2 linked regions of the Drosophila melanogaster genome follow. The protein of the gene in region 1 interacts with the protein of each later gene in a pairwise test. Each region holds a gene or a part of one and is shown on either strand. Other genes may lie near its edges. The genes, in order: CG8159 and CG17855.

Region 1 (3,928 bases):
TAAGTTATTCAGTCGCTACACACACCTTACTACCCATTATCGTTCAAATGCTCACAGACGAAACATGCAGAAAGCAGACACAATCTTTGATAAACCCTAAAAGGTATCACTTAAGAAGCTCTTAGTTGAAAACGGTTGCATTACCAAAATAGGAATTTTTACAAAAAAAATCAAAACGGATAATCAAATTGTGAACTATATTTGGCTTTAAAGGTTGAGATGGACTCATTAAGGTCTAGTTTGTACTATACATTAGAGTGGATGTTTCCAGAGCAGCCAGGCCCAAAGACTCATCCTGCTCCTGCTCCGCGGGCAAAGGCACTTCTATCGTAAAGGCATCCGCCTCTGCTTCTGGCTCCTTTTCCGTCACGAATTTGACCTGATCCGCTGACTGGGATGGTGACAGCTGAACTCCACCCGCGTCTGCCATCGATTTCTCCAAGTTGTGCTTATGAGTGTTAGAGCGGAAGTGAGTCTTCAAGTGGGTGGGTCGCGCAAAGGATCGATGGCACAGCTCACATCTGCAAAGGATCGGCTAGGTGATCATTAACTTAAGCACTATTTATCATAGTTTACTAGCCTGAACAGGCGCTCGCCCGTGTGGATAAGCATGTGGTTCTTGAGGATGTAGGAATTGGTAAAGCTCTTGCCGCACTGCGCACAAATAAAGGGTCGATCATTTGTGTGGGTCCGCTCGTGACGCAGGCGACCACTGTAGTTGACGTAGGTGCGGTCACAGTAACGACACTGGAACTTGCGATCTCCAGTGTGCATCACTTGGTGTCCTTTCAGCTCACCGGAGGACAGGAAGCGGGCGGGGCAGAGTCTACATGAGAGCAATGTTACACAGTTAACTATCAGATTGTACAATTGACGAGCTAAAGCTTTTCTTACTCGCACTGAAAGGGCCTAATTCCGCTGTGTTTGCGTAGGTGACGGTCGAAGGAGGACTTCCCTGTAATATTGTTGCCGCACTGATCGCAAAAGAAAACTGGAAGCGTAACCTTTGTGCGATTTTCACCTTTCCCGCCTTTCTTAAGTCCCCGACGTCGGGTTCTTTTCAATCTGACCGGTGAGGTAGTTCCATCATCTTCGGTAGAGCTGGACATCGCTTTAATGGCCAGCTCCATGTCTGCTTCGTTGCAGGAGTCCAGGTGATCGATGCCATCATCCTCCTCATCGCCATTGCTCAGGCTCTCCAGCTTAATCATTACCTCCAGCGGACTTGCTGGCGTCTTTGGAGCGGTGTCTTCATGCCGCTGTCTTTGGGAACGGGCACTGCGACGAACTGAGGAGCGGAATGTGTCCTCTTCATTCCTGACCAGCGACTCTTCAAAGATCTTCTGACTCCTCAAGCAGCGATCACGAAAGGATATGGCGCTTTTCAAATCCGTCTGGCAGGTCTCGCACATCCAGTCGGGTAAACCGGGTTCGCATTGCAGCTGCCAAATAAGATACAACATTTTAATTGAAGGAATTAATGTGTTTCGTAGGGTAGGCTTACCAGAACACCGGTGAGCAAATTGATTTGTTGCAGCACTTTGCAGGCGCCGCTGTTAAATAGTTTCAACGATTTCGAGTTGTCCGTGCTGCTGGCACACACGCGGCACACATTTTGCAGCATTTTACCAGCTTACTCGATTCTAATTAGTAAATTTCCAATTGTAAACAAGACAGCCACCCAAAACTGATTTGCCATTTGCCACGAAGCAGCGCACTAGCTTTTCCACCTGAGACGTTGTCCAGCACTGGCGACTTATAAAACCACTAAATCGTAACGGCTGCTACTAATTAAAATCAAACAATCTATACAAATTTTTTGTTTTCTGTGTCCTACACACTTAAAAGCATTAGCATTTATTTCATTTTGAGAAACAGGTGTGGTGCAAATATTGAGTATACAACTTAAATTCATAAAAATACGATAAGATAAAAATAAGATAGTCCCCTTTTGGGTATCTTTTTATCTCAAGGAGCATGTAAATCTTATTATTTCATAGCTTGAGCTATTTAATCCTTCATGACTTCTGCTTCTTGACATTTTGGAGGTGCATCATGGATCTGGTGTGCGTTACCAGGTGCGCCTTTCTCTGGAAGGAGCGATCGCAAATATCGCATCGGAAATTCCTCTCGCCCGTGTGGATGACCATGTGGTTCTTTAGGACGTAGGCAGTGGTGAACTTCTTGCCACACTCTTCGCACACATAGGGTCGATCGTTGGTGTGAGTCCGCTCGTGGATCAGCCGGCCCATGTAGCTGACATACCGCTTTTCGCAGAAGCGACAGGCAAACGGTTGCTCCCCAGTATGTACCCGGTGGTGGGCACGTAGTTCGCCAGCAGAGAGAAACCTGGCATCACAATCCCTAAAAAGAGAATATGGAATCAGCATACCGAACCTACAGTTGTAATCTGTGAGCGAGGTTTACTTGCAGCCAAATGGTCGTTCGCCTCTGTGTTTTCTCATGTGGCGCTGGAAAGTGGGTTTCGATGTGGCATGAGTCCCGCACAGCTCGCATATGTAAATCTGATCATCCAGTTTGGTTGATACTTTGATAATCTTTTGTGAAGGTACACACTTCTCATCTATTCCATCTTCCCTCAGCTGCGCTTTCGCATCTCTATTCAGAGTTTTGTCCATGGGCTCCTCTTCAATCAGTACCTGAAAAGTTTCTTCAACCAACTCGCCTTCTTTCTTTTTCCCAAAATCGCTGAATGCGCATTTTTCCGATTCCAGTTCCGAATTGTCATTGGTATCTTCATCACCCGACGAAGAGTCGTCCTCGATGGTTAGCCATTTAGTTTGGGTCTTAATGCAAAGCTTCCGGAATGCCAATGCCGATCTGAGTTCCGCCTGACAGCAAAGGCACATGAAACCAGGAACATCGTCCAAATCCACCAACTGGTGCTGATATTATTTATCTCAATTTTAAAACGTCTTTTAACTCACTCTTAGTCCGCTTATCATGTGCAAGTGCTTTAGATATTTTCGGTTGACCAAATCGAAGAGATTCAGGCTCTTCTCACAGATTTTCTGCCTTCCGCAGACTCTACACACGATGTTCAGCATCTCGATCACTAAACTCGACTGATGGAAAGGCAATTGTATGGTGATTACATTTTGAGGCAAACCAGATAAATTATTCATTCAAGGCGGGGATTTTTGAAAGTCAAAATCTTTATTTAAATAGCTATTGATCTGTTAACAACTGGAGCAGTCTGATAAAACAGATACTGCTTATAATATTAAAACTTAATAATAGGTGTAAATAATATTGGTCAAATCGTTAAGCTGAACCATTTCATGGGTGCTTGAAATAAGTACGACCTGCATGCTAATAATGCGCAGGATCAATTTTTGAAAACAAAACATATAGCTTCATATTTCTGTTTCGGTAAATCGAAATAATCCACGTAAAATGTTTCGTAAAATGTATTTCGAAAAAGATTTGATTCTAAATTCAATGTTCATTTTTGTACCTCATGTCTGAATATATTTTATTTTAAAACTAGCCCAATAAAGTATGTATGTATAAGATAAGACTATATAGGCACTTTTGTTATATTCAAGGAAGCAATTGCAATGCAGATGTAAATTACGCAAAAAAAAATAGCAAAAACTAAAATTTGCAATAACATGGCCACTGTAAAGTGTTTTTTAAAAACTACGTGCTAAAAAAAGCTAAATTTGTTCCCAAGTTGTCTCTTTGTTGCTGAGTTTTAAGGAATTACAAAAATGTCACCAATATTTTTAGACCCATATTTGATATTGTCTTTTGTGGTTTCAGCTGTTATTAAGTCTTTGTGGGTTAGCTCTTACCTAAATTTTTTTTTTTTTTTTGGTATATTGATAAAACATATGGCATCTTGAGATGTATTAAACTTCCTGACACAAAAGGTCGAATTGCGACTGCACCAGATCCTCGTCAA
Region 2 (3,928 bases), on another chromosome or scaffold:
CGCATTTGATTTTTCTTTTGCGACGCACATTCGATAAGCATCCAAATGAATATGCCGCAAGTGGGAGAGCTTGATGGTGATCTTAGAGGTGTCGCGCTAGTTTGTCTGGTCCAACCAACAAATGTGGAGATTAATTTACTTTGTCAATAATTTGCAACATTAGGCATTGGGCAACAAGGCCTCCGACTGCATTAAGTCATAAAAATAATTGTCATGTTTTAATGGATAGCGCACCACGTCGAATTGGAAATGGGATGGGAGGGCAGAAGTCGGGGGCTGGAACCTTCACAGCTCGGAGGCCAGATCCTTTTGGCAGGTGATCTGTCCGCAACTCGTTTGATGGCATTAGCAAATAATTTAATTAATCGCCATTAGACGAGGGGTTTCTCTGCGCGCAGTCCAAGAAACCGGGTTACTATATCGCAAAAGTTTTGATTTAACGCAGCCGCCGAGCGTGTTTGTCGAACCTTAAAAGCAAATTCTGGTATGTGCACTGGTTAGGCGTAGTTGGTTCGGAATCTGGGTTAGTCCAGCCGTCTAGTTATTGCTCTCTGTGCGTAAACTTAGTGATCAGTTTCATCAGCTTTAGTATGGCTACTTGTTATTATGATCTATTGGTTGGTTGTTTAGTTTTTGGCTGGGAGCTATGTGATAAGATTAATCCCGCCACTTATCCTAATCAACAGGCTCGCTTTCTTTCTCCAACTTGGCGCGAATTGTTCTTTGACAGCGGGATCTCAACAATTCCCGTCTTAGGGCATTGCTCTCTGTTTCCACAGTTTGTATGAGCTGAATACAAGGAACAATCAGACATATATAATTAATGAGAATTAGGATTAAAGCTTACGCTATGGGTTAAAGCAGCTCTTTCCATAGTTTCTGCGTCGGCATCATCATCCTTGGGGTCAGATTCACTGCTAGAGGAGCAGCGCCGGGCCTGCATAGCTTTATGATGCTGTCCGGGATAGTCTTCCTCATATTTGGGCGGTGGGTCGTCATCGTTGGGTAGCGAGGCCGGCAGACTGGTCGCTCCTTCTTCTGATTTTGCCTTAAAAGCGGCTAATTCGTCCCGCAAGGATTGGTTTTGCATTTCCAGTAATTCCACCTTTAAACGAATCATTTTTACTTAAGCTTGCTAATACGTTCTAAAGCGTCTTACGCTCTCAAGTTCAAAATCCATTTCGTCAATAATGTCGTATGACTCATCAAGGGCTCTTTGAAGTTTTTCTACTTTGGCCTTCAGCTCGTTCAATTCGTTGACATCGCTTTGGGCCGACTGCCTTTTCTCCATAGCCATTCGTTGCTCTAGTAGATTTTTAGAGTATTGATCTAATTTTAAGCAAAAATTCCATTTCCTAACACACCTGCATTTCTTTGATCTAAAGAGGACTTCATTACCAAGCCTGTAAGCGTCTTCTGCCGTTTAAACATCTCCTCCAAAGCACGACAACGTTTCACTTTCTCCAGATAAGCGTCATGCAGTTTGTTGTACTTCTTCTTGTGCTTCTGCAGTGTTTCCACCAGACGATCTCGTTCCTCCTCCAATTGGAAGACCATGATCTTGGCCTCCACATTTATGGCCGCATTGGTGCTGTGGCTGGCAGATGCGCGATTTAGTCGATGGCGCAGCAAAATGTTTTCCTCCTCCAGCTCCGCACTTCTGGACTTTGCTGCAAAGGAGTTTCAATACATGGCGTATACGCAACGACATTGCTCATACGCACCGGCAGCCAGTTCTGCATAGAGAACCTGCATGGTAGATGTAGCACGTTTCTCCATTTGTTCGATTTGTATTACTTCAATTCGTAGTGGTAAAAATTACTCAGCTACTGAAAAATCTTTTGTTGCTGAAAACAGTAAAGATAAGCTATCAGCGAGTTGAATTGCGTGGATATCGCTGGCAGAGTTACTTTGTTAAGTTATTCGATTGCTTACGAACATATAGAATCGATCAAATTTTAAGTCTTAACAATTTAATTAACACTATTATTTTTTTTACCTATGTGGAACCCAAATTGATGGAAAAAGTTTTTTGTATTAATCATCAGAAATGCTAATCAAAAGATAGGCTCGTTAAAAATTAATTATTTCTTGCTCGTCTTGTTGCTTAAATAACAATGTTAATTTAAATATTATATGGTGAACCAAATTTATAAAAAAATTTTTAATAAAAATGTTATCTATATTTAAAGTACGTTAGGTTTGTGTCTTGGATATAAGATACTTGCAAACATCATGGTCACACCATTTATGTAGTTCCCTAATTCGAGTACCATCTTGTAGGGGCGCCACTGTGCCAAAATTTCAAATAACTAAAAAATTCGTTAAAAATAATGTCTTTTAAGAAAAAACAAATTGACTTGTTTAATGCAGTTTTGGTTTATTTTGTTTTTCATTTTAGGAGTCTCATTGTTTTCATTTCATACATGTCCTTATTAGTTTATTTGCAATATTTCTCTAAGTAAAAATATGTATTCCTTAAAACACACTTTTTGAGTAAACATATATATGATATATATATATATGATCTTTTGCACCTAAGACTCACTTTCTGTAGTCCGTTTTAAAATCGCTCTTCAATAATGTATAAGTTATGTTGTACAAACACATATCCCGATACGAATTATTAGCTACGCGTAGGTACTTATTAACGTACAATTGTATACATATATTTCTTATATGGATGTATCTATTTAGTGCTCGAGGAGCTCCTCTCTGCCTCCTTTCCTACTGTATGTGGCTGGTTGGTGTAAACATAGAAATAGTTGCTACTAATTAACCTAGATTGCATCACTTAGGACTACTGGGGGTCTTGCACTCGGGCAGTGCGTAGGAAAACAACCGGATGGATCGATTGAATTCCCATTTCAGTTGAGATACTGATATTATCCGCGTGTATATTTAATTGATATTTTTAAGGCATTATCGCATTTAAAGTACATCATTCGGTTTTAAAATCTAGGCTAGACACTTGATTTTCTCGCTACCATTAAAACAGGGAATTTAGGATTTTTCATAAAACTATTCCAGACCTATTCTTCATTCGAACCCATCGCTATTTTGTCCACAAAGATTCTCTAAATGATGTATTTGCATAAGAATTACATTCAGCGTATTTTCACTTTCTTTCTAATTCAACGTTTTCGTTAATTTTTGTTTTCTATACTCACAAATTGTTTCACAGCACAATTTCCATTGACAATGGTTAAATGTTCGGATTATTAAAACATTGTAATTCGCTATTCGTTTCTCTTTTCTTTCGCCAACTGATTCTCAGTCAATCGTTAAACTTCGAAACCGAGATTGCATAAAGTCGAAATAAAGCGAAACGTATGCAGCAGACTTCAAACACTTAATCGACTTTTTACGGATCTAATCTACACTCCACTAAAATACAATACAAAATATTCCTATCACAACGATCTACTCCTACCTTAAAATATGCTAGTTGCTTTCTAGGATTTCTATTCTATCGCCTGGTTACATAAATATTATCTGCAAGGATTCGTAATCGTATCTGACTCGGATTCGAATTCTGGTTGAATGTTGTATATATCAAAAGATTTCTATTTTCAGATGCCTTCTATTAGTAGATTTGAACACTCGGTCGTAAGTACAATGAGCAGCTGAGGGACGAGTCACTTCATCAGGAAACGGGCATGAACCACATACACTCAAAGTACGATGAGGCGATTGCCGCCGGGAATGGAGACATTGCTGATGTTGCCACAAATCGAAAATCCTAGCTTATAGCTACATGGCCTAGCACTAAGCACACGCGGAACGCTCCTCCTCTTCATCATCGTTATCGTTGATGAGCTCGTTACGATCGTCATCGATCTGGATCTTGTGGTGCGACGTGTTTCGCGTGTGCTGAGGATGAGCGTGCCCTGACACCGAACTGGAGGCAGCAGACTCCGGCAGCACT

The links.
Region 2: the proteins of CG8159 (region 1) and CG17855 interact in a two-hybrid assay, tested with the Drosophila melanogaster proteins (2 studies listed by BioGRID).

What each region holds. Positions count from the first base shown.
Region 1 is NT_033777.3:8,724,624-8,728,551, reverse strand, and holds CG8159 (uncharacterized protein), read right to left. Parts: upstream 1,699-3,928; 5' UTR 1,625-1,698; coding exon 1,505-1,624; intron 1,443-1,504; coding exon 895-1,442; intron 827-894; coding exon 581-826; intron 522-580; coding exon 236-521; 3' UTR 182-235; downstream 1-181. Other genes in the region: ranshi, read left to right, coding at 1-100; ouib (ouija board), read right to left, coding at 2,019-2,364, 2,428-2,900, 2,949-3,068; nom (numerous disordered muscles), read right to left, coding at 3,876-3,928.
Region 2 is NT_033779.5:9,538,495-9,542,422, reverse strand, and holds the start of CG17855 (uncharacterized protein), read right to left. Parts: upstream 1,901-3,928; 5' UTR 1,780-1,900; coding exon 1,725-1,779; intron 1,671-1,724; coding exon 1,365-1,670; intron 1,306-1,364; coding exon 1,160-1,305; intron 1,106-1,159; coding exon 848-1,105; intron 790-847; coding exon 676-789; 3' UTR 1-675. Other genes in the region: Oatp30B (organic anion transporting polypeptide 30B), read right to left, coding at 3,769-3,928.